Linked DNA regions of Notamacropus eugenii. The protein of the gene in region 3 interacts with the protein of the main gene of each other region in a pairwise test. Links are inferred from orthologs where the notes say so. Each region holds a gene or a part of one and is shown on either strand. Other genes may lie near its edges. The genes, in order: NR4A1, ZNF496, PGBD1 and zinc finger protein 24-like.

The links.
Region 1: the proteins of PGBD1 (region 3) and NR4A1 interact in binary tests that used the Homo sapiens proteins (3 or more experiments, as listed by UniProt). The two-hybrid records come from large-scale screens. The link is inferred for Notamacropus eugenii from reciprocal best matches to the Homo sapiens genes PGBD1 and NR4A1.
Region 2: the proteins of PGBD1 (region 3) and ZNF496 interact in binary tests that used the Homo sapiens proteins (3 or more experiments, as listed by UniProt). The two-hybrid records come from large-scale screens. The link is inferred for Notamacropus eugenii from reciprocal best matches to the Homo sapiens genes PGBD1 and ZNF496.
Region 4: the proteins of PGBD1 (region 3) and zinc finger protein 24-like interact in binary tests that used the Homo sapiens proteins (3 or more experiments, as listed by UniProt). The two-hybrid records come from large-scale screens. The link is inferred for Notamacropus eugenii from reciprocal best matches to the Homo sapiens genes PGBD1 and ZNF24.

What each region holds. Positions count from the first base shown.
Region 1 is NC_092874.1:224,525,193-224,532,785, reverse strand, and holds the start of NR4A1 (nuclear receptor subfamily 4immunitygroup A member 1), read right to left. Parts: upstream 3,009-7,593; 5' UTR 2,802-3,008; intron 1-2,801. UniProt on the Homo sapiens protein: Orphan nuclear receptor. Binds the NGFI-B response element (NBRE) 5'-AAAGGTCA-3'. Binds 9-cis-retinoic acid outside of its ligand-binding (NR LBD) domain.
Region 2 is NC_092873.1:74,849,261-74,856,684, reverse strand, and holds the start of ZNF496 (zinc finger protein 496), read right to left. Parts: upstream 3,008-7,424; 5' UTR 2,919-3,007; intron 2,868-2,918; exon of another isoform or gene 2,781-2,867; intron 536-2,780; exon of another isoform or gene 1-535. UniProt on the Homo sapiens protein: DNA-binding transcription factor that can both act as an activator and a repressor.
Region 3 is NC_092873.1:73,251,118-73,258,248, forward strand, and holds the start of PGBD1 (piggyBac transposable element-derived protein 1), read left to right. Parts: upstream 1-4,125; 5' UTR 4,126-4,252; intron 4,253-7,131.
Region 4 is NC_092873.1:72,398,635-72,406,264, forward strand, and holds the start of zinc finger protein 24-like, read right to left. Parts: upstream 3,003-7,630; 5' UTR 2,528-3,002; intron 117-2,527; 5' UTR 40-116; coding exon 1-39. UniProt on the Homo sapiens protein: Transcription factor required for myelination of differentiated oligodendrocytes. Required for the conversion of oligodendrocytes from the premyelinating to the myelinating state.

The DNA.
Region 1 (7,593 bases), on a different chromosome or scaffold from region 3:
CAACATACCCAGGGCTCCAATGTCAAGAGAAGCACTCAGTCATCTTGAAGGAAAAGTACCCTCTACCTTCCCTGGGAACCCAAGGCTCCAACCTTGGGCCAAAGGCAGAGACCTTGAGCTTTCTTGATTGATGGGCATTTACCATGTTTACAGATCATTAAAGAAATGATGGATGGATCAGGCAATCAGGGATTACAAAGGCCCAAGCACAGCCATGCCAGACTCACTTCACTGTATTTTTTGATGAGATTACGTAAGTGGGGGATGCTGTGGATACAATCTACCTAGATTAAAAAAAAACAAACAAACCTTCTGATAAACTATTCACATGTTTCTTGCAAAGAAGATGGATATGGTTGATATTAAAGCAGAAGTATCTACAGTACTTTGGACAGCCAAAGTAGTGCTAAATGTCAAAGTGAGAGGAGGTCTCCAATGGAGTGCCCCAGGGATCAATGCCTCTTAACAATATGATCAATGACTTGGATAAAGGAACAGATGTTATGTTCACCAAATCTGCAGACAACACAAAACTGGAAAGAAGAGTTCACACAGGTGATGACAAGAATCAGGATCCAAAATGATCAGCCTATAGCACTGAACTGAATGGAATAAGTGAAAGGCCCTAGACATAAATGGAAAGTCTTCCACTTGGGTGCCAAAAAATCAACTTCACAAGTAAAAGATGAGGGAGATAAGGATGTATAATAGTTGTCTGAACAAAGATCAGGGTGCTCCAGGCTCAGGAGGAGTCAGCAGTGTAATGGACAGTCAAAAAAAAAAATGCTAGAAACAATCTTGAGCTGTATTAAGAGGGAAATAGTTTCTAGGAACAGGGAGATGATGATACCATTTTACTCTGCCTGGGTCAAACCAAAGAATAATGAAGGGTCTTGAGTCCATGGCATATGAGATTAATGGAAGGGAATGCCCAGTTTAACCTGGAGAAGAGGAGACTGGGGGAGGGTGGAAGGGGAAAGGGAAGAAGTAGGGAGCTGGGGATGGAGGACATGATAGCAGTCTCCAAGTATGTGAATTGCTGGACCCCAGAGGGTAGAGTCAATGGCAGTAGATAGAAGTTATATTTTGCAAGGAGACCAATTTAGGCTCAACACTGGGATAAACAAGTTAGAATTGTCCAAAAGTGGGAAGGGGCTCCCTCTTTAAGGACAGGATCTTGAAGGTCTTGAAGGAGGGATTCCTTTCCTGTATGGACCTTTTCACCTGTCAACTTCTAGCTGTCATCCATCATCATCATCATCTTCAAGTCTCCACCTCTGACCTAGATCTCAAGTTCTCAGCCTAGGCTTCTAGGCTTCAGACCCTGGTAGAAGGTAGCATCCTACTCTCTATGATAATCAGATTTCTTCCCATATTTCAGACCCTGGGCTTCTAATTGGTGAGCATTCACCACATCTAGCCCAGACGCAGACACACCAGACTACTTCCCATCTATCTGCATGCCATCAAAATGGCCCATTCTTTCCTCCCCAAGTTTCTAACTAACTCTGAGAATAGTAATCAAATCTATACCACCATTCCTCAAAAGAATGTGTCAATTGATTGCCTCTAGGACACCCATCAACATCCCTGTGACTCCTCTGTGAAAAACTCTTTCTCAGTCAACACAATGTATTGTGTATTGTCTCCTACTATTGTGATATGAGAACTTTGATGGCAAAAACTCACTTCTTTTTGCATTTGCCTACCCAGCATATAGCCACGTGTGTGCACTGCAGACAGAAAGTGATAAATAAGTGCTCTTCCACTCATTTGGATAGGCAGCATGGCCTTGGAATGAGGAAGACCCGTCCAGGTTCTAGCCTGGCCTCTGCCACATACTGCAGCTCACCATCTCTCAATGCTTTAGGAAAATCTTTTAAGTCCAAAGGTAGCAGAGAAGGTGGGCAGCCTACATAGCTTAACCTGGGGTGGAGGTAGAGGTGCCTTTTCCCCTCCTAGGTTGGGGCGGGGAGGGGGGGAGGGAGAGAATGGTGGTGATCTTTGCCAGCAGGAACCTAATCTAGGTTATCAAGTTTGTCCATACTCCACTTTCATGCAGAACCCAAAATATAATCAGGTTTCAGGGAGCATGCAGGACACTCTTTCCTGGGAGTATATGATTATCTTCATTTTATACGTGAGAAACTGAGGCCCAGGGAATAGAGGTTCACCACACTGTCCTTTTTTGTCACATAACTAGGAAATGTGCCTTGGGCACTGCCAAGTTTCCCAAGACGGTATTATCTACCTTCTCCCTTCCCAACCCCCCCCCCACTGGGTGGTAGACTTGGAGTCAGGAGATAAAATCCCGACTCAGATACTTACTATATGATCCTAGGCAAGTCACCACTCCAATCTCCGCCTTAGTTTACTCATCTGTACATGGGGATAATAGCACTTACTTCACAGTGCAACCTCATTGGGTTAATATATGTAATATATTAGATAAAATCTGTAAACATATTATCTACATATTACGACATGTAATATATTAGACAATATATGCAAATATATTATCTACGTATGACATGTATTATGTAATATGTAGATAACATGTAAAAAGCGGTCTGCAAATCTGAAAACAATCTAGAATGCTCCATATTGACAATAATGATAATAAACACAAGCAGATTCTAGTCCTAAAAAACTCCCAGACCGCGACAATACTCCCTCCCTCCCCCGCTCCCTCCCGAGGAAAGTTCCTGCCCATTCGGCGGCCCCGCCCCCCGCCCCCGGCCGGGCTCCGCCCCCACTTTCCAGCCCGGCTTCCCCAGTCCGTGCCCCGCCCCCTCCCTCACCTGGCCCGCTGGGGCTCCCCGAGCTGGGCTGTGCAGGGCGCGAAGCCCCGCCCGGGAGGGACGCCCTTCATTCTGCAGACACGGGCCCCCAACCCTGGGCGGGGGTCCCAGAGGGGGTGCGAGGCCCGCTCCTCGATGCGGTTCACTCTCCTTCCGCACGCCCGCCCCGCGGTCGCCATGGGCCCCCTCCTCCTCCTTCTCCGAGCCAAGGGAGCCCCCGGCCCGGCTGTTCCCGGGCCTCCCCCCGCCCCTCCCCCCGCTCCCCAGCGCGAGCTGGGCGCGAGCGGCTGTTCCGGCAGGCAGCGCGCCTCCCCCCGGAGGCCGGCGGGGGAGGAGTGACGCGCGCGCCCATTGACGTCTCCGGAATCCCGGCGGCGGCGGCGGTGGCGGCTGCTTGCCTGCCCCTGGAGCGTCGCCCGCCTCAATGGGCTAAAAATAGCGGCTCCCGGGCGGAATAGCCCCGCGCGCCCGGAGCCCCGCCCCCGCCCGGGCAGGTGGCACACGTGCCCCTGCCCCCCTCGGTGAAGCAGCGAGCAGGTTGGCCCATGTTAATCCATTTTATTCTCACGACCACCCCGGGAGGCGGGGTGCTGCGGCCGTCGTCGCCGTTTTACAGCTGTGGAAACTGAGGCAGACCGGTCACAGCTGGGAAAGGCTCGGATCCCGCGCCGTCCGCCGCCTCCTAGCTGCAGACAGGGGAGGGAAACTGAGACCCAGAGAGTGAACAGGGAGGGATTCGAACCCAGGGCCCTGGTCTCCAAAGACAGCGAGCGCTTTCTGCTCCTGGCGGCCCTCCCTCGATCCGAGGTATCGCGCAGAGAAGTGTGTTTGGTGCCGCGGGAAAGCAGTCGGGACCTGGGACCGTCAGCCCCTTCCAGCCCTCGGACCCGGGCAAGGCACTTCACTTCCTTCTGCCTCAGTTTCTTCAGCGATAAAAGGGAGACAGTAACACTTGGGGGCGTGGGGTGAGGACGAAGAGAGCTACAGATCTCCTCTGCGTGCGTGGAGGCTTCGGCCAGCCTTCAGACCCTGGATACATAGTAGCTCTCTTAATTGCACGATGTATACATAGTAGCTCTCTTAATCGCACGATCTTATCCCTCTCAGGCGATTCTCTCGGACCAGACCGTGGTACCTAAGATGGGGGTCTGCATTCCTATACCAATGAAATCGCAAGTCCGGGTAGATATGCATCCCCAGAAGCTGGTGCATCACAGTCCCTTAAAAAATGCTAATTCATTCATTTAGAATTCGCTTTCGACTTTCTAAACTAAACCTTCACTGATTTCCAGCCCTTATCTGCTGTCTAATAGATAGACCTGGTCTTTCTTGCTCCCTGTGCCTCGTGGAATCTCTAGATTCAGAGATCTAATGCATCCACTCCCGAAATACCTGTCCTCCTCCACTCCCCCCTTTCCCCTTCCACCTCCCCTCTTGCTCCTTTACCTCCTCCCCCTCCTCCTCCTCTCCCCTCTTCCTCCTGCAGCTGGGCCCCCTCCCCTCCCCCCTGCCTTTGTGGCTAAACTACTGGAGAATGCAGTGTATAATAGGTGCCTCCATTTCCTTTCTTTTCACTTTCTTCTTAACTCTGCAGTCTGCCTTCTAACCTCATTATTTTCCACTGAAATTGCTGTCTCCAAAGTTTCTAACTTTCTTGACCTCTCTGTGGCACCTGAGACTGGTGACCATGCTCTCCCCCTTGATGCTCTCTTCTCTCCTTCTCCCCAGCTTTTCATGACTCTCAGTCCTGGTTCTCCTCCTACTTAATTTGACCCCTCCCTCTCAGTCTTTTTTTTTGCTGGATCTTCAATCTGGGTCAGGACTGGTCACCGTGGGTATCCCCCAGGGCTCTTCGCTGAGTCACTTTCTCTTCTTACTCTCCCCAGGGATAGAGAGGCCCATGGGCCTGAGCTGCACAGAAACAGGTGAAAGGCTGGATTTGGCCCATGCCGTAGTTTGCCAACCCAGGCTCTATGCTATTTTACTTGGTGATCTCATGAGCTCCCAGGGATTCAATTGAGGTTTCTCCAATCAATCCTAGCACTTGTTGCACCACATAAAGCGAGTTTACAGAAAAATCACCCAGTGTGGGAGCTAGAAGACAGCTTAGGTGTCACTTTGCCCGACCCCCTTATTTTTCAGTTGAAAAAACTGAAGACCAGATAAGTTAAATGCCTCTCGAAGGGTCACACAGTTACTGAGTGGAGGAAGGGAATTCAAACTAGATATTCTGAGTAGATTCAGTTTGTCCTGGCCTTAGGCCTTTCCAAACTAGGGATGGGGTGTTGCCTCTGGCCTTTCACCTTTCCATTTTCCCCCAAACCTTTTCCAGATCAATGGACCTCTTGAATCTTCCTACCTCCTAAATCCGCTGGACCCCATTGTTTCAGATACCCACTTCATCAAACCCATAATTAATTAATTAATTTCTCACTTTTCTCTTGCCATCCCTTTTTAATTGGATGGACTCGCCTGTTATATGCTCCCTCTTTCCTTTACTAGCCCCCACTTCTGAATACTCCAGAACATGAGTGCCTCTCTAGGATTTACTTTCAGAGAAAAGAACATAATGCAAAATCAGAAATAATAGACCAGGATTAGGTAATGAGAAAGAAGGTCGAGCAAGAGACCTATCAGTTCCACTCCAGATGGTACTTTCTAGTTCCTTTAAAAGATGTTTATTCAAAGATTACCATCCAAAATAAAGGAGGCATAAAACCAAACCAAAACAATAAAAATAAGATTAAATGAGCCTCAGTACAACTGAGATGCTTAGCAACTATTTACATTCAAATTAACTAATTTCAGTGCATCAAGTATCATAATTTTTCATTCACTCTGACTAATCATTCTCATTCCCTTTTCCTTTTGTATCCTTGTAGTTAGAATGTACTCATACCACATCCTTCTTGGTAGCCTTTTTTCACTTTGTATTATTTCCTCACCATGGAGTTCCTTAAACCAATTAAATTATGGGTACCACCCCTATCCCTCGCCCACTCAAGTTCAATATCCCTATTATTTCAAATAGATCTTTTCAGGTTTCTCAGTATGCCTCCTACAATCTTAAATTGCATTATCATGTTCCATTATATTAATGAATGGCACTTGAATTCTTAATTATCTTACTGAGCTATTCAGTTCTCCAAGCCTAACTTGGCTTATCGGGATTCTTTCTTGGTCTGGAAATTCAAAAGGCAGGAAACTTGTTCCTCCTTCCTCTGGATCTCCCCCATAACACCCATGATGGGATGCTGTCAGCTTGAATCAATATTTTGGGGGGGGGGCTTCTCACAGAATTTAATTCTTTGTTAAAATTTCATAGGAACAGATTTTTTCTTTTGATTTTTTATTTCATTGCTTTTGATGTTTCATATTTTATTGATACATATTTTCACACCATCTTCATTTCAGAGTATATCTCTTCCCTATCCCCTACCCAGAAGGCTAGTGTTTGTAATAACAGTTTTTAAATGAGGAAAAAAAGTAGTTCAGTCTAACCAACCAGTACGAGCTGAGTCTGACAGTATATGCAATATTCCACACTCATGGTCTCCCCATCTGTGCAAAGAAAGGAGGGAGGCACATTTTCTCAGCTCTTCTCAGGAAGTAAGTTTGGTTGTTATAATTATATGATTTTCAGAGAGCTTTTTTGTTGTTGTTTTTTTCCATCTGCACTGTTGTAGCCACAATGAATATTGTTTCTATTCTATTCTGCTTCGGTTCATCTAAGCACTCCTAGATTTCTTGGAATTCTTCATATTCATTGTTTCTCATGACACGGTAACATTCCATTACATTTGTATACCAATAATTTATTTAGATTTTCCCCAATCAACACACATCTGTTCTATTTCCAATTTTTTGCTACCACAAAAAGTGCTGCTATGAATATTGTGTGTGTCATGTGTGTGTCCATGTGCCCTTAATGAATACCCAGCAGTGAGTGCTGAATATTTTGACCCCTTTCTTAGCATAATTCTAAATTGTTTTCCAAAATGGTTAGACCAACTTACAGTTCCATCAACAATGTATTGGTATGTCTGTCTTTCCAGAGTCCCCTAATATTTATTTCCTCCATCTTTTCTCATCTTTGCCAATTGTCTGGGTATGAAGTAAAAACCTCAGTGTTGTTTTAATTGGCACTTATGCCAGTTATTGTTATAAAATTAGCATCTGGGTATAAAAATACCAAATATTTAAAGAATAATAATTATAGCTAGCATTGCAAAACACTTTACAAATGTCTCATTTTATCTTCACAACAACTCTGGAAGGTAGAGACTATTGTTACCTCCATTTTACAGATGAAGAACCTGAGGCAGGCAGTGATTCAGTGATTTGAAGAGGTTTATAGAACCAGAAATTGACTGAGATGGGACTCTTATCTTCTGTACCAAGTGCCTTCAAATTAAAATTATTCTCAAAAACTGAAAAAGAAAGCAACTAGCAATGAGGTGAAGAGAATGAGAACAATGACTAAACTGTGAAAGACTGAAGAATTATGACCAGTGCAATCAATGACCAATCACTTTTCAAAGGGCCTGATGACTATACAAGCTTCCTGCGTCATGACAGAGAGGTGGTAAACTCGAAATGCAGAATGAGACAGACATTTTCAGACACAATGTGTGAATTTCTTTTGCTTGACTATACTTATTTGTTCTATGAGAGGGCTTTTTTTTTGAGGGGGGGAGGATGGAAGAAGTTCTAATGATACAGAAAAAGAAATGAACAAAAGGAGACTCAATAAAATATGTATTTTTAAAATACACAGAAAAGAGCAGAAGGA
Region 2 (7,424 bases), about 1.6 Mb from region 3:
TTAAACAGTTTCTGCCCTCAAGGAGTTGAGTTCCGTTTGGGGGAGCGAATATGTACATGTAAGAATATAAAACTATATATACTAGATGAACATAAAGTAATTTGGGGAGGCAGAGCATTAGCATTTTTGGGGATCAAGAAACACTGTATAAAAGGTGTTGATTGAATTTGATTTGGAAGCAAATTAGAGATCCTGAGAGGTAGGAGGGAAAGCATTCCAGAAATGCTGAACAATTATTAGGCAAAAGAGAATACTGCATAAAACTAGAAATGTAGGAAAGGCCCAGGTTATATACAGCTTTATATGTGTTTGTTGTTGCCGAAGAAGACCATGCCATCAGAGAAATAATAACATGACTTGTGCTTGACTTTGTTTTGAGTGAGGGAGAGTCACCAGCCTAACTTCTCCTCCAGAGCTATCTGAATCCAGTACCAGATATTCATCAGGATGACTGGGGATGACCCAGGATGAGTCACTTTGGGTTAAGTGACTTGCCCAAGGTCACACAGCTAGTGAGTGTCAAGTGTCTGAGGTGAGATTTGAAGTCAGGTTCTCCTGACTCCTGCAATGGTACTCTATCCACTGTACCACCTAGCTGCCCCATACAGCTTTATATGTTTATATTTGATCCTAGAGGTATCAGAGTCACTGTTTGGGAGTTTACTGAGTGGATGAGTAACAAGGTTAGACCTTCACTTGAGGAAAATCACTTTGGCAGGAAGATGGATTGGGATTGGGAGAAACTTGAGGCAGAGAGACCAAATAAGAGTTTGTCGCAATATGATAGGTATTAAGGCCCTGAATTAAGGTAGTAGCTGTTACTGGAGAAAAAGAGACCTATGAGAAAGACGTTAACATAGAAATAACAAGATTTTGCAACTGATTGCATATGTGAAATGAGGAAACTGAGAAAATCAAGGCAACCTTGTTTTAGAAATAATAATTACTGAATTCTTAGACATTTTTTCTCATGTTATCTTAAGCATGAGAGAACAAAAATAAGAAAGGGGGGTGAAATGGGAAAGAAAAGGAAGGCAAATGGGGAAAGGGTAGGAAGGGAAAAGATGAAAAGGAGAAACAGGTCTGAATTAGGCTACTATCAACAACTAACTGGTCCCTTGGTGGAAGAGAGTGAAGATTTAATTATATCATGTTAGATCTTAAAAGGAATTTTATAATGCATTACAAAAGCAGTCTTGCATAGTGGAAAGATTTGGATTAAGTCCTAACATTTTTTGATCTTTCACTGAGGAACAAAATTCTCAATCTAGCACTTTTTCCATGTTACCCTGATTCAGTTCTATCTATTTCATGTTCTGTTTCCTAAACTGCTTCATTCACCAAGTAGTAGGCTGAGCATGCAGGAGAAGATTGAAGAGACCCATTCTTCCCGTTTCTCTTAGTAAAGCAACACCTCAGAAACTCTCACCTCAGACACTTGACACTCACTAGCTGTGTGACCTTGGGCAAGTCACTTAATCCTAATTGCCTCATCCTGGGTCATCTCCAGTCATCCTGATGAATATCTGGTCACTGGATTCAGATTGCTGGTGAGGCTGGAGGAGAGGAGAAGTGAGGCTGGTGACCTACACAGTCCTCTCTCACTCAAAACAAAGTCAAGTACAAGTCATGTCATTATTTCTCCGATGGCATGGTCTTCCTCTGCAAGGAAGGACGAACACAGTAAAGCAACAAGTATCATCCATGGCCAAAAGTCTCCTTTCTGTCCTCAGCAATTCAGCAAACATCCAAGACAGAGTCATGATCAGGAATCATTTGAAGTAGTGAGAAGAGTCTCAGCTATGACCCTTTTGAGAAAGAAGTCATTGCGAAGGTTGTGGAGCCAGGTCAGACTGTGCCAAGGAAACAAAGCTCATAGAAAATTTTGAGCCAGGTAATCGACTTACGTGATCTGTGTATCCACAGACAGCAGCAAATGATTAGTGTTTATTTTCTGGATATTTTGTATTTATTTATATGTATACCTGTTATTTTCCCCGATACAACATAAGTTACTTGAAGGCAGGGGGATCTTTTTTTGGGGGGGAGGGGTTTATTTGTAGAGAAGTAGTGTCTGGCATAAAGAAGGTACTTAATAAATCCCGGTTAACTGATCGACCGTTAAAGATGGTTGCTAGGTAAGGGTGAGCCAGTGTTTAAAAGAGTATCAGCATGCCAACTCATCCTTCTACGAGGGAAAAAGGAGTGAGCCTTGGAGAGCATATAAAGGCGCCTGATGTTTACAAGAGAAGGCTAAGTTTCAGTAAATACCACAAAAACTTAGTTCTGTTAAAGAGACCGGGGTAAAAATTTTGAGTCAGAAGGGCCACTGGAGATGAGCAAATCCACCCCCACCACACACGCCGTTCTATACGTGATGAAACAGAGGCCCACCGAAAAGGAATCTGTTTAAGGCCACAGGCCTAAGGGGGGAGTCGGGCTTTCGGCCGTCCGACTGTCCATCCTGCCACTGCACCACAGTAAAGGAAGGGGCCCCCAGAAGGCAGGGGAAACGCGAGGCGGAGCGGGAGAAGGCTAGTGACGGGTTTTCCGTTGGTGGGGAGAAGCCTCCGGGTACCCGAGGGTACCCAGGGCCGGCGGCCACCGAGCGGGGTCGAGGGCCGGCTTGGAGAGGACCCGACAGTGGCAGCCACCGGCCGGGGCGGGAAACGAGCCGAGGCTTCCCCCGGGATGACAGTATGTGAGGCGGGGCCCCGGCTACTTCCGGCCCGGAACCCGGCCTCCCCCGAAACGGCGGGGCCTGCCCGGCCTCCATTTACCTCGGAGTGGCGGCGGCTGGGGTCCGGCCGTGGGCCTGCCCCGCTCTCCCCCTCCTCGTCCGGCCCGCTCTCCTGGCGGCACCGCCCTCCCCTCCCCCCGCCGCAAACACAGTCGGTTGGCCTCTCGCTCTTTCTTACCCTTCACCTCAGGACTGATCGGAATCTTTGCACTCAGTCTCCGGGCTTCTTCACTTCATCTCCATTCGCTTGGCGAGGACTTGGGGAGAGCCCAGAGGAGAACTGCTGATTGGCTCCAGGCGGTGACGTCACACGGGAAAAAGTTCGGACCCAAGAAACCTCTGCCGGCAGGTGGCGCAGCTCAGCCGCGGGTCTTGGGCCGGCTCCGTTTCCTCCGCGAGGAGAAGGAAGTTACCCAAAGGAATGTATCCCATAGGCTGAAGGCTTCCCTTTTTAAACCCGTTCGGAAGTGTCTTCTTACGGCTTTGGGATGCTTCGACTTGAAGAACAGCGTAGGCTGATCTAGAAGGGCTTCTTAAAAGAGAGAGGGCTGCCCTCGGGCCTTCTGCGAACGGACCGCCGGGCCTTCAGAAGCCAAAGAGGTGTCTTTGGAATGTCCGGTGTTTGCAGAGGAGACCATGTAGATCTCAGCCACTCCGGGCTTGGGCAGCACGCCCCCTGAGCACGCATGTTGATTTCACTGCTTCCAGAAATGTTGCAGCTTCTCTGCTGTGTCGTCTTCATTTCCAGCGACGCTAAAGTACAGTCATCTATTAGATGTCTCAATGCAATTAAGGCTGGACTTTGTAGGAAGACCAGACGCAGTCCTTTAAAGTCCTTAGATTCGTTCCTGAAATGAATACAATGTTGCACACAGACAAGGGATTCATTAACCACAAAGGTTGAGCAGGAGTGAAGTGTGGTGGTTAGCGTTGGATTACAGGGAATCCCTCCAACTCTATCTGTGTGATCATGGTCAGGTTAATCTGGAAAACTGGAAAGAGTACTGGCGGTAGTCGGTTCAAATAGGTTCAAATCCTGCCTTTGGTGTTTACTCCCTGTGTGACCTCGGAGGTCATATAACGTTCTCAAGCCTCAGTTTCCTCATCTGTAAAATGAGGGCTTTGAACCAGGAGATTCTGAGGTCCTTTCCAGCTCTGAATCTAATAATTCAATGATCTTTTGTAGATAATAATACTTGCAGCATCTACTTAACTGTTCGTGTGAAGTAAGGTGCTTTTTTAAATCTTAAAGACTATTCAAAAACATTTCTTTTTAAAAATTAATTTGTTTTCTGTTTTCTATTAAAACACCGAATAGAATAGAAATAGAATTTCTATCTAAAAAAAAACCATTTCTTGAGCTATTACTTGTGGAATGATACTGTGCTTGAAGCCGTAAGGGAAACAAAATAAATTGGAGTATCTATTCAAGGATAAGACTAATATTAGTTAACATATAGATCTGCTTTAAGGTTTGCAAAGGATCTGTGAGTTCATTGGAATGGGTTATACTCCTCCTTAGACTTATACTAGAATTTATTAGGCAATTGTAATAGAACTGTAATAGTAGAAAAATTCATTATGCTGTGTAACCAGCTTGATCATGAGTCTCAGTAAAAAATTTTTTGACGATACTGCTGTTTTTAATCATTCAAATAGCTCATTATCTGTTTCAAATTCTTTATTATGCACAGTCGCACAACTTGAAGCTGGTTAAATACAGTTCTCATAATTCTTAAATACAGTTTTTAGATTATAATATGTGACTTTACCATGAAAGTATTTGGCATTTAATAAAATTCTTAACAGGCACCTTACATGAGGGTAAAAAAATCAATCTGTTTCCATTCCCAGACACCCACAGTACATAGAATCGTCTGCCAATAAGAAAAATTGAGTACTGACTTTTGTCAAAGTGGCATAGTAGGAAAACAGTTCTTAGAGAAATGTAGTCAAGATGATTTAGCTTATTCATAATATAAGGTTAATTGACAAGGCTTGTACTGAAGTTTACAAAAAAATTATCTTAGGTGGTTCATGAACCTTAAGAGCAAGTGACTTTGCTGTGTATCAGATGAGAAATATATATATATATACGTATATACATATATATACGTATATATATATATACACACACATGTATACACATATATAGTTATAGTTATAATAGTACATATGTATAATTAAGTACATATATATAATACATCTAAGAACTGAACTCATACTTGTGAACATATGTTCACAAGTACAACCTTCTCTTAAGAATCTGAACAAATGAGGACTTAAATTCAGTGATAAACAAAATTAAGACAGACACTATGTATTTCCTAGAAAAGTTAGCTTGTGAAATCTGAGTTGTGACTGTTTAGAGCTACAGTTTAACACAAGTATCTTTAAGAAGATATGAATCGGAGATGACACAGAGTCCATTTATCCTAACAGTTAATAGGTTTGTGAATTTAAGAATTGGTGTTTTCTGCACACATATCTAAAATTTCCCTAATACTTAAAAAGTAAAATACCTTAAAGTACAGGGGGAAAAATCTTATATGAAAATTCACAATTTTAAATTATTAACACTGTAGAAAATCTACAGAAGGGCTGTAGACTAAGAATGGCAAAAAGAGACAATGGAACTAAAATTGTGATCAACCCACTACGTTATGTATTTCCTTAATTTGCAAGGTTGTAATGAAGCTATAAATTTAAAACATTATGGAATGGGAGACTTAGAACAAAAGAATCATATATAAACCTCTCAGACGCATACAAGACTTCTAAAATATACTCAGTGAAAGGTGTAGGCATAGAATACCTAGTTGTAAATTTTTACATAACACCATAACCACTTGAACTTTCTAATATCATCCAAACACAGGTCTTGTTTTGAAAAGAATATCAGTGATCTGGAAATGGATGGGGGCAGGAAGTTTTATGATCTATAATCCTATAGGAGGAATATGAAATTACAAAACATCAACCTACACAGATGAAATATTTAACTGTTTAGGCTTATGCATATCTGAATGCATATTATCATCAAATCAAAGTATGAAGTAAAAAAAAAAAAAGACAACACCCTGGCAATTTGAGGAAGTTCCAATGTTTCAGGGAAAAAATATTTTGAAGAACATTTAGTAGTATAACAAAATAAATACAGCAGGATCAGATTAAGGGTAACAGTTATAAATGAAATTTTGGCCTATTTTTCCCCTGTAGGTTGCAACCATCTTGACTTTTTTGAACTTTTACAGTTTTCCCTCATGCTTAATTCAGATTTGAGGCTGCTTAACATACACCTGTGATTCTAGAGATTCTGCTGGTGAAAGTTTTTTTTTTTTCTCTTGTCTCTTCAGTTTCTCAGAAGCTCTTCTCTATAAAATGATCTCCTACTGCTTGAAGTACCATTTGCCTTCCTCATTCATGAGGACTAGGTTGCAAAAGTATCTTACTTGGAAATTTTTCTTCACATCTTATTGTTAGAGTTGGGTCATACCCTCCTGGAAAGAGTCAGTTCACCTTTAGCTTGTATCCTATCCATTATTTCATATTTAGTTATGGTCCTAAATGCTGGGCTTAATTCTAATGATCTCTTATATTGGCTATAACTCCATATGCTCAATTTTTGTTCTTTCTAATAAGAATTATTTTCCAATAATGACATCTTTTGAATGATATTTTAAAGATTTATTATATTCAGATTCTACATATAGACAATTTCAATGCTGATGTCCATCTTTATAGAGATGTTAGCATCAGGATGGGTTCAAGGTGACAAGCAATAAAATCATACTTATTTTATTAGCACTTTAAGAAAATAATTTTCTTGAAACAGATTCACCATCGTAGAAGAGGTAGTGTTTTTCTACTTTGCTAACTTCTCTGTGAGAAAACTTACTGTCCATCGTTAACCTGAACAGAAACCCAAGCCCAATCATTAATAAATTTAGCTAAATTGACCCTTCAGTCCTGGATTTTCATCACTGTAGGTAGGTCTTTCCAACTTGGTAGAACAGGCAAAACTTGAGTTCTACTGATAAATCTTCTTAGAACTGGGATAAACAGTTACTAACAAGTTTAAAATCTATAGGGAAGATTAATGGTTAGAAGAGTGACATGAAAGGTCATTTAAACAGTCTACATTTCCCACATGTACTCTAGCAAAAATGTAAAAAGGCACAAGATGAAATGACGGTCAAAAAGTTCAAAGAGAAATGATAATAAATGCCTTCATCCAGACCAAAATCGAAGAAAAAGTCAGAAATTGTGGTCACTGGGAGAGAGATTCCACTAGGGAAGCCAGCATCAGCCCAGAAAACAGGCTGAAAGTCTACACCTGAAGAAGCACCTGAGGCTTGCAACCTTGTGAGGGGAAAGCCTAAATTCTGTGGAAGTTCACAATGTGGTCAGATGGGAGCCCTCTGGCAGCAGGAGCCAGCAGTGCTCTGACCTAGATACTTGGCATAGTGGGACTGGAGTGGGAAATTGAAGATTGCAACACTCCGACCCAGAGTAAAACAGATGCCTGGAATGCTCTCCCTCCTCACCTCTCGTTTCTTAGATTCCTTGAAGACTCAACTCAATTCCCATCTTTTAAAGAAGCTTTTCCTGGTCTTAACACAATGTTTACTTTGCCCCAACACAGAAAAGATTATGCAACAAGTTTTAAAATGAATCATCTTAA
Region 3 (7,131 bases):
TTGGGAGGGTGTCAGGCCTAGAGGCCTAAGGGCTACCTGAGTCTTTCCTTACCTGTCGCAGGTCTTTGGCTAGCCAAACCAGATAAACGTATGAGAGAAGAGACTTTCCAGAGTCGAACAAGGGTTAGGCTTTATTCAGGGTCTTGGTTACATGTGCAGGGGGAATTCTTCCTCAGGAGAGAGGAGTCCTCCTCCCAAGGAGGCAAAGATCTTACAGTAAGAGATTGGGAGCGGGAGAGGGGAGGGACCCTCTGCCCTCTAAGGGCCCCTCAGTGCTAAGAGCGCCTTCAGGCTTTCCTGACTCTACTTAAGCTCTCCTGCTGCATAGTTTGCACCTGAATACCGTGCCTGTTCTCAGCCCTTAGCTAGACAACAATAGGTGTGCTCAGACCATGGATTAATCTCGAGGGCAGGATGCTGTCCCCAGCAAGTTTCCCATGGGGAAGAGGCGGAAATGCACGAGATAGCCTGGGTCTCACACCTCAATTCCCAGCTGTTCCCTGGGGGGCCTCATGAGAACTCTAAGGTTTAGAAGTCCTCACTTTTACCTGCCCGAGACTGTCCACATGGAACTGAGCTTGCACCTCCAACAGGAGGGGAATTTAAAACTCAAAATTTTATAAAATTGAATGTTGAAAACTCAAACTAAATAAATGAATAAATTGAAAAAAAGAACTTTGGAATTGATTGTGTGATGTGGGAGACAGTGACATAAGAGAAGGTGCTGTGCTATATGTGCTCTATGAGCATGGTATGGTTGTTGTCCTTCATTCTCAAAGAGGACCAAAATGACATCACTATGCTAGAGTCAAGTTTTAATGTGTGCATCTGTGGGTGATCAGACCAATGCAAGTTTGGAATGTTGTACCACAAGTCAAGCACAACTAGTCCGCATGTGCATTTCGGGTGGGTACTACAAATTTGCACCTCCTGCATTTCCTTTGAGCTGTCTCAATTCTGCTTTGCACATTCTTGAATGTGGACATGCAGTGCTGAGCTTGTCATCCCACGTTACACAATCAATTCCAAAGTTCTTAAGGGAGACCTTGAGAGTGTTCCTGTATTGCTTCTGACCACATGTGAACACTTGCCCCATGTGAGTTCTCCATAAAATAGTCTTTTTGGCAAGCTTATATTTTGCATTTGAACAACACAGTCAGCCCATCAGAGTTGTGCTCTCTGAAGCAGAGTTTGAATGCTTGGCAGTTTAGTTTGGGTAAGGACCTCAGTGTCTGGTACCGTCATCCTGCCAGGTGATCTATGAAACCTTCCTAAGACAATTCATATGGAAGTGATTCAGTTTCCTGGCATGGCACCAATATATTGTCCAGGTTTCACAGGCATACAACAATGAAGTCAGCACAACAACTCTATAAACCTTCAGTTTGATAGTCTAATACCTCTTCTCTCTCATATTTTCCTTTGGATCTTCCCAAACACTGAGCTAGCTCTGGCAATGCATGCATCAACCTCATTTGTACCCTACCTGGTGGTAGAACATTCTGAGCTCATATTGATCTGATCAGCTACATTCAGATGCACTATAATGACTCATTTTTGATCCTGTTCCAGAACAAAGGACAACCACCAAGCTATCCTCCATTCCGGTTGAGTGTTTGCACAGATAAGTATCTTAGAATTTAAAAAATTTCTCATTAGCCATATCTGTTTTTATAGTTCCTTCTTTCACAGAACTGATAAGATTTTATGACTTTGTCAAGGTTGAAAACTCAAAGGACCTGACAAGTCCCCAAATAATTTCAAAGATAATGCGAATTTTTCAAGGCCTTTTGTACTTTTCTCAAGCACTAAATGAACATCATTGTTGATTTTCAAGAAAAATATAGCCAATTAAATATTCAAGACAGTTTTTTCAGTATAAGAACAAAGGACAAAAATTCCCAATAAGTGATTATCCAAATTCATCACTTTATTGCATTCACATAAAAGTGAGAGTAATACAAATTCATCACATTCTAGTTATCATTTCTCCAATAAATAGTATTTCTTATATTCTGGCAAGATCATGATGTAAAAATTTTAAGAGCATAACAAAAAATATAAAACAATATTATGGATTTAAAACATGAAGCAAAACTTATTGCCAGTCAAAGGACATCATTCAGGGAAATGCACTTCTAATTTGTCTTACATGGAAAAATAATTTCATTTATCCATCAATTTTGGTATTCTATTCTAGTAACTTAGAAACCAGTGAAGAGGACTTAAGATCAGCTTGCTCTTAGTGCTTATTGCTTAAGGCAAGTTTAGAAACTGCAGACTGCAAAACTGTTGACATTTTGTTCCTCCCCTTTTGGAATTACTGGAAATAAAACTTTTAAAATGGCTTCCATTCCGTTTAAGGCTTTCTGAGAATTCTCTAGTCAGAGAAATTATCTTCCTTTTCTACCCTAAAACAATAAATCTGTAACTCTTCAGGGAAGGGACAGAAAGATAAAGGAGTCTGAAAGCTACTTTCATGAAAATTTCACAAACTTTCTATTTTAAAAAAAATCCTAGAGAGCTGCAACCTCAAAAACCATTAGGATATTTTAGCACTTATAAAAACTACATTTTCATCATAATTTGGACTTGCAGATTACATTTTATTCTCAAATATAGTTTCTGGTTAGGTTAAAATGTCATAGATTTCTGCAAATAAAAAAGAATATCTGTTTCTCTCTCTATCTCTGTTTCTCTTTGTCTGTATCTTCTCCCTCTCTCTCTCTGTTTTCAACCTAGGAACACAGAAATGAGACTATGTATTTTTTTGGAAAACAGACATTTTCAGCATAACTCTCATTCACTTCCTTATCTTCTAGTGAATTTTTTTGGGGGGAATATACTGGTTGTTTGGAGTGGACTGGAAATTTCTTTTTCCAGTACCTGAGTTCGTGGCAGTAATTAGACAAGGGTGAGGTCAAATTTTTGTTCTCTTTAAATTCTGCAAAATAACATTCTTGGTCAGCTATCAGTTGCATCTGGTAAGTTGTCCTGCCTCTGGGATTCCACTCTTATTTCTTGTTCTCTCTTCTCATCTTACTCATTGAAGAATAAAAGTTATCAGTGAGAGAATTTCATAGAGAATTTTTTTGGTTTTATTTTGGCAAGGTTGTAAAGTGTGATGTTATTGTCCCTTAAAGGAATAAGATACTGCCTATGGGCTTCCTGTATGTCCAAAAAGAGATCCTCTTGGTGCATTTCAGAAGCTGCTAAACTAATAAACTGATAGTTCATTTGTTTCAGAAACTGAACTTCTATTTTAACTTGTAGAATTTGTAAAACTTATTAGGTAACCAAGGCCATTCATTTAAGTTTACGATGGCCATTTAGATTGACAGAGCTTAACCAGATCAGATTCTCCCTAGATTTTTTTCAAATCAGTCAAAATCTGTTCTGCACCAGAAATACTGGGTCCCATCGTGAAGACTGACTGTTCAAGGTGGAATTGAGGTTCAGACTTTGATATGGTTGCACCTCACTTTCCTCATCTGTAAAGTGGAACTAAATAATTGATATTCCCAACCCCATTGGGAGTTATGCAAATGTTAATATGATTTAGAATTAAACTATTATTATTACTATCAAAATGTACACTTCTGAGAGACAGAGAGACAGAGAGAGAGAGAGGAGAGAGAGAAGGGAGAGAGGAGAGAGAGAGAGAGAGAGAGAGAGAGAGAGAGAGAGAGAGAGAGAGAGAGAGAGAGAGAGGAGAGAGAGAGAGAGAGAGAGAGAGAGAGAGAGAGAGAGAGAGAGAGAGAGAGAGAGAGAGAGAGAGAGAGAGAGAGAGAGAGAGAGAGAGAGGAGAGAGACAGAGAGAGAGAGAGACAGAGAGAGAGAGAGACAGAGGAGAGGGAGAGAGAGACTTATGAATTGTTAAGACCCTGAAAGACAGGTTTTGACTGGAAAAGAGGCAAAGGTCTGGGGGTCCCAGCAAAGAGGGAGACAGTGAGAAAGGAAGGATTCCCAGCCGAGAGGGTCCCTGTGACTCTGAGGGAGCCTGCCAGGGTTCCAAGCAGAGAGAGCCCAGCGCCCCCTCCCCCAACACTGTCTCAGGCTCGGTGGGCGGGACCCTAAGGTGGGAGAACAAAGAGATGCAGCCAGTCCGCCTCGAGATTCCTAGAGAGGACCAGAGCAGCAGACACGACCTAGATGGCATGCGCACTTCTGGGCGCCCGGCGAATCCTGGAAAGCCTGGTCGGTCCTGAGCGCCCACGCGTTTTCTGGGGCGCGTACCCTCGCAGGCTTCGTGGTGAGTGCCGCCGAGGGGGATGGGGGCGCGGGATCGGCCCGGAGGGGTGTGCGGGTGAAACGCCTCTTCCTCCCCCGCTTCTTCACTCTCCTCTTCCCCTCCCCCCTCCCCCCTCCCCTCCCCCTCCCTCTCTCCCCCTCCTCTTTCCCTCCCCTCCCCCTCTCCCCCTCCTCTTCCCCTCCCCTCCCCCTTTCCTCCTCCTCTTCCCCTCCCCCCTCCCCCTTCCCCTCTCCCCTCCCCCTCCCTCTCTCCCCCTCCTCTTCCCCTCCCCTCCCCCTCTCCCCCTCCTCTTTCCCTCCCCTCCCCCTTTCCTCCTCCTCTTCTCCTCCCCCCCTCCCCTCCCCCTCTCCTTCCCCCCTTCCCCTCCCCTCTCCCCCTCCCTCTCCCCGCCTTCCCTCCGCCCCCCTCCTCCCGCCTCCCTGACTGCTGGAAGCACTTAGAGAAGGAGGAGAAAGGCCTCGGTACGCCGGGTCTGGGGATGGCGTCGGTGTCTGGGGCTCATTAGAGGCTCCGGCCGCGCCTCCCTCCCGCCGCGGAGGACGCCGGGCCCTGCTCGGGGCCTGCTCCCCGCATTTGCGCCGCGGTCCTTGCGGCAGCTCGGGGGATTTGTGGGTAAACCAAGGCCCCCGGCCGTCCCCCGGGGAGGAGCTGCCCTGGGATCCGCTCTCCCGAGCTCTGGCGGTAAGAAGGCGGTTCCCCGGTTTCTGCGTTTTCCGAGCCCCAGAGCCATTTTGACTTGAGAATGACCGGCTAGTGTTTATGATAACCACCGCCGCCTTCCGTAGGAGGAGGGGCAGGCCCCCCGGCCTCGCCGCGGCCCCGGCCCCCCGGCCCCCCGGCCCCGCCGCGGCCCCGGCCCCCCGGCCCCGCCGCTCTGCTCCGCTCCTAGAAACGGGAGGAGGAGGTGGGTGGTTCTGTTGTGCGTCCCGGCCCCAGAGGCGGGAGGAGCTGGATCCGAATCGGGCCTCAGGTGCTAGCGTGCGTTAAGAACGCTTGGAGAAGGGTTCCCCTGGAAGGCGGAATTTATTGACTTTGAAGAGTCAGGAGAACGGAGGAGGGAGAGAGTTGGCGGCGCGCCTCGGAGGCCAGGGGCCGGTGGCGAAGACTGCCTAGGTAGGAGGAGGCCGGGTCACGGAAGGCTTTCTTTGCCGAACGGATCGTTTGCTCCTGCAAACAATAGGAAGCCGCCGGAGGGGGTCCGCCGCGGGAAAGAGGGGGAGCCGGATGGAGGGTGGATGGAGGGGAGGCAGGCTGGAGGTCACCCGCCCATCCGCAGGCTGTTGCGATGGTCCAGGTGAGGGGCAGGGATGAGGGCCTGCACTGGTGAGTAGTTCAGAGAGGAAGGGACGTATTTGAGAGGTTGCAGGCCTCGGAGTGGCAGGCCTTGGCAACAGCTTGGCTATGGGGGGTGAGAGATAGGGAGGAATCCAGGAGGCCTGGGAGGATGGTGTTGCCCTCTCCTGTAACAGGGAAGGTGGGAGGTGGGAGGTGGGAGGGTTTGGGGGAAAGATCCTGAGTTCGGTTTTGACAAGATTGAATTTAAGATGTCTACTGGCATCTGAAAGGCAGCTGGAGATGCCACTTTGGAGGGCAGCGGAGAAGTTGGGGTAAGTTCTGATTTAAGAATCAGAAGCATAGAGATAATAATGAAAACCACGCGAGGCGACGGATCACCAAGTGAAGCAGAATAGAGGGAGAAGAGGAGGGGGCCCAGGACGGAAACGCTAACCTACAGTTAGATGGTATAATCTGGAAAGGATCCAGTAAAGGAGACAGAGGAACAGACAGGTAAGACAAAAAGCAAGAAAGAGTGGGTATTTTAAAAAACCTGAGGGAAGAAGATACCAAGGAGAGAGTATTCAACAGTGTCAAAGGTTGCAGAGATTTAGAAAAATGAGGATTGAGAAAAGGCCATTGAATTTGGCAACTGAGAGATCATAAGTAACTTTGGAGAAAGCACTTTCAGGTGGAATGATAAGGTCAGAATCCAGATTTTAAGGGGTTAAGAGGCCTATTGTAGAGAGCCTTTGGAAGGAGTTTTAACCACAAAGGACAGAAGAGATAAGGGACAATACTTGGTGAGAATGGGGGGATTGAGAGATTTTTCAAGAAAAGGTTGATGTGGACAAGTTTATAAAGCAGTTGGAAATGAGGCAGTAGGCAAGGAGAGATTGAAATTAAGTGAAAGAGTGGAGGTGACAGACAGGGCAGACTTGGAAAAGGTGGTTTTGCTTAGAGGATAAGGAGTAAGGCCCCTTTATCATGTGAAATGGGGTGATGGAGAAGAAAGTGGCAGAAGATATCTGAGTCATTGGAGGTCCAGAACAGTGTAGAAGTAGTTAATGCCCAGTGGCCTCAATTTTTTTTTTTGTGTAAAATATGAGTGAAAGTTCTCAGCTGAGAGAATTGGGAAGTCATGGGAGGTTTCAGAAGGGATGAAAAGATTTGGAAGAGCAACTATGAAAACAAAGTTAGTGACTTGGTGAGGGGGGGAGGTATAGTAAGATTGCCTACCAGCTACCAGAATAATTTTCTCAAAGCAAGATTTGGTTGTGTAATTCTCCCACTTATTCATTGTTTCTGGAATAAAATACAGACTCTTCAGTCTGGTATGTAAGGAAGTGCACATTGTAGGTCTTCTTTGTCTTTCCAGCCATATTTTCTAATCACTCCCCTTTTTGAATTCAATATTGCAGCCAGACTGGATGACTAGCTATTTTGAAAAGTTAGCAGCGTACTTCTGTTGCTATGTGCTTGCACGAGTAGTGTCAGTGCCCAGAGTAAGAAAGAATTCTTCCTCATCTCCATCAAGTAGAATAGTTTTCTTTTCATTGAGATTTAAATTTTTTGTTTCCCCATTTGGTAGTACTTTTTTTTCC
Region 4 (7,630 bases), about 850 kb from region 3:
AGAAATCAATACTGAATCCTCACTCAATTCTGTAGACATTCTGAATGACACTATGTCGGAAGGAAACTTACTTCAGTTGGGGTCCAATATAGTTACCTTTAGCTCTTCTACCACTCCTGGAATATTGGACAAAAAAAAAAAAATCAGCAGCAACAGATAACTAACCGTAAAAGCTTAGACATATATATGATAACGAAGGTTAGTCAGGAGCTAATCATCCGATAAGGATATTTGCTTTTCTATGAGATAGAAAAATAAGACTGAACAAAGAAATATTGATATTTTATTCCTTATATAAACCACAACTTCATAAAAGGAAAGGAAAATCTGGTCATAAGAGCCAAAGCACTCAATTATTCTGGTTGGAATGCTAGTCTCTGCTTTACTACTTATTGGCTGTATAACTTCGGGCTATTAAATTTCCCTGAATTTCAATTTCCTCATCTGAAAAAGGGGAATGATACTTGCACTTCTTCTCTCACAGGTGTGTTGTGACAAACCAGGAAGGAATAAGTATTTATATGGCAACTACCATGTACCTGGCACTATGCCTGGTGTTATTATTATTATTGCCATTTTTACAGTTAGGGAAACAGAGGTTGAGAGAGCTTAAGAGAATTGTCCAGGGTCACAAAGCAGTGAGTGTCTAAGGCTGGATTTGAACTCAGGTCTTACTGACTCCAAGCCTGGTGTTCTATCTACTGTGCCACCAGCTGCCTTTAAAATTGTAAAAAAAAAAAAAAAAATGAATATGAGAAATTACCACTAATATTATTATTCATATAGTCACAAAGATGAGTGAAAACAACAAATAAAAGATTAGCTAGAAAGACAAAGAATGAACTAAAAATCTGTGAGAAACCTCCAGTGTATGAGTCAGATTTTAGGGAAACAGCTACCTAATAGCAACTGTGGATAATGTATTCAATGATCCCCAGAAAGTGGTTCTTAAAAATTGAAGGCAGCTCCCCTAATTTTGTCCTCAAATAATTTTCAGTACACATCATCTGTAAATATTAAGCATGATGAAATGGGTGGTACAGTAAAATCTGTAATGCTAAGGTAATATCTGTTCAAATCTTATATGGATCTTTATTGTTTTTTGTTTGTGGGTAGTCAGCACACTTTTTTTCCCTCCAGTGAACCAAAGACAAATGACAGAAAAATTTTACCTCCTTCTACCTTCCTTCTACCTTCACCTCAGGCCCTGTGCATTTCTTTCAATATTTATTTAAATAACTTGAATAAGACTCAAGTCTACTCAGTAACTGTGGTCAAGGAACCCTTTATTCTTTTCAAAAAGTTCATTATGTACTAACCAGGAGAAAGGGACTTCCGTCAACCCTAGGAGTCCGAGATAAGTCCTTATGAGCAAAAGATTCTACTAGTGTGCTTTTTCACTCCTAATCCTGACTAGGCGCAAGGTTTTTGTCTATTTTTTGGAAACCTCCCTTCCTCAGTCCACATATTTATTATTCAGTCGCCAAATAGTTATATTTCTACTTTTTTAACATCTCAAATGTCACCCATCTCTTCACACACTCACTACTCTGGACCAGGCCCACATCGCCAGATGCATAGATCACTGTAATAGTCTGTCACCTCCTCTTCCTGTTTTATTTCTTCCTAATCCAATCCATTCACCACAAATCTACTAGAATGGCTTTCCTAAAGCACAGGTGTGACCATGTAACCTTCTCACTGGAACTCCAGTGGTTCCTTAATTCTTTAGGATTAAATTCAAACAAATACCATGTACAAAAGAGTTTTGACATTTGAAACCCTTCACAACCTTTTCCCAGCCTGCCTTTCCAAAATCCCTTATTATCCACTCCTTTTTTACCACACTCTTGCAGTCCAGCCAGACTGACCTTGCTGGTCTTTACACAGGACACTCCATTTCCCCATCTCCTTGACTTTGCACTGGCTGAATCCTATGCCTGGAATGCACTCCCTCATCTCGGCCTCTTAATTTCCTTGTTTCTTTCAAAACAACTCCAGTAACACCTTCTCTGGGAAACCTTTCTCAAGATGCTAATGCTCTCTCCAAAATTACGGGGTTTGTCTTTTGCATATTCTAAATTACGTCCACGTTGTCTCCCTCAACAGAATGTTAAACTTCTTGAGAGAAGGAGTGCATCATTATTTAGTTGGGTGTATTTCCAGGGTTTATTCCAGCAATTGGCACTTAGTATGTAGTTTTTCAAAAATGTGTGTTCATTTATTGGCCGCAGAGAGCAACGCTTAATCGAAAGCTACTTAAGGAAACGCTCCTTTCCCCCTCCCCCTCTTTTTTGCCTATTTTCTAAGAAAAATTTCCCCGTCAGCTCAGTAAGGAGGGAGTGAGGCTGGAAAGAGTCATCGAGGGGTACAGGACACGGACACAGCAGGCCTAGCTCTAAAAACAATCTTCCTGTTCTGGCTGCAGGGTCTAGAACCTCCACGGACGCCCAGGCGCATCCCTGGGGAGCCACAGAGGCGACATGCCGGCAACCTGAGATGTTCGGACCCTCAACCCAGCACTCACCTAATTCCAAGAAGACCCTTTGAAGACTTCCGCACACACCCAGCCCGGACTACTCTTCCCAGAAGCCCTCGCACACGGCCCCTACTTTCTGCAGACAGGCACCTCCCTTGGAATACTCAACCCTCAATGGCTCCGCGGCGGGGCACGGAGATGAGGTTGAAAACGTCACAGCAGGGTGGCCATGAAGAATCGCCAAGTTCTCCTCTCCCCCCTTTTCCGTCCTTCCTCGCAGATCTCGGGCTATGGGTGCAGCAGTTGGGACACACGGATGAATGAAGCCTCCTGGGTCCTCGCTCTCGGTGCCCCCACTTCGGACTTGTCCGAACGCAGGCTTGCCCTGTACCCTTCTTGTTCTCACCCCCGGCCTGGGAAGGAGGTGGCTCGCCTTCTCCCCGGCTGTCGTAAAAGGATGTTAGAAAAACGTTCTCCCAGAAGCCTCCCGGCAGAGCTGCTTCCGGTTCTCAATCCGGAGCGGGCCAGGGGGAAGTGACTCAAGTGGTTGCCGTAGAGATGAGGGAGTGGGGAATCCTACAAGCATGTGATGGTAGATTCAGAACGGAAAGGGGCGGCAAGCATTTTTCGTAACCTTGGCGACGATTCTTATCCTGTCTCCCCCGACATTTGCAGTCAGATGCCAAATCCTGCCTTTTCTACCCCTTCTCGCTATGCACAAAGCCTCCAAAAGTCACCGCCCTAGTCCAGGTTCTCGTTATCGCAAGTCTATTCCTTCTCCGGTCTACCCTCCACACAGTTGAGTGATTTTCCTAAAGTACAGGACTGACCATGTCATTCCCTTGTCCAATAAACTCCATTGGTTCCCTAGGATAAGATACGAGGCATTGCAAAAGTCTTAGTGCAGTTTTGATACTAAAATTTAAACCTGCACTAAGACTTTTGGAACGTATAAACGATTTGGTTTTTGAAACCCTCTACAACCTAGCAACAATGTATCTTTCCATTAACAATTGTCAATTTGTCTGAAACAGTTACCACCAATAGCTTTCCGGAAATATCTTCGTTAGAAAGTTACATAATGTCAAGCTTTCTTGTATCTGCTAGGTGTCTGAAACAGTATCTCCAACAGTTTTCCGGTAATATATTCGTTAGAAAGTTACATGTTAGGATATATTGTATCTGTTGGAATGGCAAACATTTTAAAATAATAGTCATTTAAAATGTCAAGACTAAGGCAAATGTCATGCACACACATATATGGAGGGAGGGGAAGGAGAGAGAGATTTGAAAAAGACAAAAATTGAAAACTACTCATATCCCAAATTACTTAAGACAGCACAAGCATCACCTTCTGCACCAAGCCTTTCCTAGCGTTTTTCTGCACCTTCCCTAAGCCCCACATCCTCCAAATTCCCTTTTAGAATGCAAGCACTTTAAGGGTAGGGGCTGGTTCACTTTTGTTTGTGGAGTCCACCATAATGCTGTACATAGTAGGTACTTAATGTTTGCTGTTTATTTGGAGAATGCATATATTATGGTATTTCAATGTAATGGAATATTATGGTGCCATAAAAGTTATAAGATATGAAATACACAAGGAAAGGAAATAAAAAAGACCAAAGTTATTATATACTGATTACAAGATTTTTTTTTTAAGGAAGGAAAACTGGTTCGTCACATGAGGTGGAATTTCAGGGATGCTTGAAAACAAATACAGAGCTAAATTTCTTTTGGTTAAATGGCTGGGGGAAGTGAAAGTTTGGTCTGCATTATCTCTGCTTTTTTTAGTTCTAACAAAAAGCTTGAGCCAACTCAGAAAAGACAACTCACTGGGCAAATTTTTCATAAGTATGGTACATTGGCAGGTATTTTTCTACTACAACTAAATTTTTTAGTTACTTGCCATCAAAAGCATAAAAGATTTGTAAAATCACAGATTCAGTCTGGGTTTGAGCCTCAGGGGTCATTTAGTTCAACTCCTACCTGAAGAGGAATCCACCTTGTGATTCCAGCTTCTGCTGGAAGACCTCCAGCTAGGGAGAACCCACTACATTTCCAATGGATGTGTGTTCTTTGAAGGCTTTAGTTCCGTTTTTTACCTTCAACTCTCAGGAATGTCTTTCACATAGCAGTCACTTAATGTTTGTCAAACAGCCCATTCTATTTTTAGACAGCTCTTAGGAATAGTTTCCTTGTTTGAAGCCAAAGTTTGTTTCTCTGCAAAATAGTCTAATATATTTTCCATGATGAGACTTAAAATATTTCAAGAAAACTATCACATCCTCCCTAAATCTTCTCCTGTGTTTGGAGATTATTTCATTTACCTAATAGCAGGTACAAATATCTTGATCATGCCTAGAAATTTTCCAGATAGAGACCTCCATGTTTTCTGAAACTTTAAAGGGCTTGTTCAGCTGTTAGAAAGAAAGAATGCTCTGATCAGATTTCCTACCTATGGTCCCCAGGGAAAGTTTTGATTACATCATATTGAATTGATAGAATAAAATACAAAGTCCTTTGTTGTTTATAGCTCTTCATAATCTGGGCATAGCCTGTCTTTTGAGGCTTATCATATGTTGTGCCCTTTACATATGTCATAGCCAGACTGGTCTAACTTGCTGAACATGACATTTCATCTCCCACCTTTGAGCCTTTTCATTAGAATATCTCCCATACCTAGACGTTACTCCCCTCCTCAACTGTTTTTTTTAGAATTCCTATTTTCCAACCAGGCTTAGTACAAGTGTCATCTTCTATATTAGGTCTTTTCTGATTCCTCCCATTGTTCAGAACATTTCCCCTATCCCATATTACTTTGAGTATTTTTGTACTTACTTATCCATGTAATCAGTTTCCCCCAGTAGAAGATAAAGGCAGGTGTGTTTTTGTTTTGTATCCCCAGAGCCTGGTATGTTTTAAGCACTTAATAAACACTTGCTGAATGAATGATTAACCAAATGAGGGTAGTTGTACCCCTCAGTTTACCTGATTTAGACTCTCCAGTCTAATGTGCAAGGTATCCAAGTCCTAACGCAACGATGATCATCCTCTTATTGGGGGAATAACACACAACAATGATTATCTATGGGGAGGTCACTGCTTTATTGGTCATTGGTTTGCTCTTTTCAGCCACAAGGAGAATGAGTCCCAAAGAAAAGACCCTTACATTTTCTATAATATAAAATAATACATTATATCAATACAGTCATACATATATACTTAACTCTATAATCCACATGACATCATCACTATCAGCATATTTATAAGCAAGCTCCATTTTGCATTCACTTTTCCCCACTGGCTTTTTTTGATGACTTGTTGCTATATATTTGTCACATATACTTTTAGCTGGCCCACACTAATTCCAACCTATTGGAATCATCCAAAGCATTAGATATATTAATAATCTTGGGAGAAGTGTGAAATGATTATACTTTGTGACAGTTACAGGTAGACCAAATGGCCAATTACAGGTACTTCCTTTTCCTTCTTCTTTCTCACGTCTGACGTTTGTCTACTCAGTGGTGTAACTGAAGCACAACAGGAGAATACAGTCAATGGAGTACGTTACATAGGCATTATCACTAACAAAATGTGTATTATTATAATACGTATAATGAATCCCTCAAAAGGGAAAATTAGTTTATCAGTTTCTGTCAAAGTAATTTAAATAAATAAGCCAGTTGCTTTATTTTCAAATAGAACACTTATTTCCATTAAACATGTAGATATAATTTCTGTGCTACTATACTTGCCCAATACATATCGATGAGCTGCTGGAAAATATAAAATCTTTAAAACTTATAAACTATAGTGGGGATGTTTTTAACTTCAATTTTGAAGAATGCATTTTGGCAAGTTCTTTAAATCAGGTATTACCAGTTTCTACATTTTTGTGGTATCATCATGGGTCCAGACTCTGACTGCGATCTGATCCAAAGTCTATGCTTGGAAACAGTGGTTAAGCTACCCAAGGGTGATACCCAAATCCCAAAATTTATTTGTATTAGGAAGTCACTTTTTAATTTATGTTGGGGAAATATATATGTATTAATCACAATTACATAGTTGTATTAACTAATTATCTTTTTCTGGTATTGAGCTATCTGGGGTATACTGTTAAGTTATGGGTTGGAATAAGTAGCCTCTCAGGTACTGAGACTTCTGAAATTTTGTGACAAAATTATCTAAAGTTCCTTTTGCTCAATTTTAAGTGATACTTACAATAAGATTCAATAGCCCAATCAATCACACTTCTTCATTATAAAGATATGCCTGCCATTATAATTAGATACGAGTCAGCTAATAAAGGGGATCCTCTTAGACAATGCTTCAGATACTCTGAAAAAGTTTTACCCTACAACTTTCCATTTCCAAATGATAATGATGCTATCACCACTTAGCTTAACATCAGTTTGTTATAATATACTTTGATGTCAAGTGATAATCTGATTTGGTAGCTTATTTTTACACACACATTTTTTAAAGTTAGAGACTTCCTACTAACACAGGGAAGCATCTTGTTCTTGTCAAATGAGCTAGCTCTAAACTACATACTATTTACATTCTTACTAGCTTAAATCAGAGTATGTCTTTTTTCTAAACTGGGAGTCTTGTCCATTTCTTGACCTCAATAATCTCTCATCCCAGATAATGGCAACCATCTATTCTTGGGCCTATACCTCTCTGGCTACCCTTCCTATAAGCCTGAATTTTCATATTAAAGTGTGATAACAAGAGAGACTGCATGGTGTTGTAGATGAGTGTTAGCTTTGAAATCTAGTAGATCCGAGTTCAAATCCTCTCTCTCATATATACAAATGGTATGATCATAGTTTAAATTGTGAATGTGCAGCGGAAAATGCTCTTTATGACAATGAAATCACAGATCCAGGTCAATGTCAACAGGTCTAATAGAAGAGCTGAAAAAGATGTCTTCAAACTTGTTGCTAAAATTCCTGTGATGCATTTTAAAAAATAAAAAGTGCTCATCTTTTCAGTGAATTACATTATAAAACTCTTATATTCACTTTAAATAAGGGGAAATTATCCAAGAAGGACATTTTTAGAGAAGGGGGCAAACAGTCTTCTAGTTGACATAGCAATGGAAATAGAATAAATTAATAGATTATCCCCAACAAGTGGGAC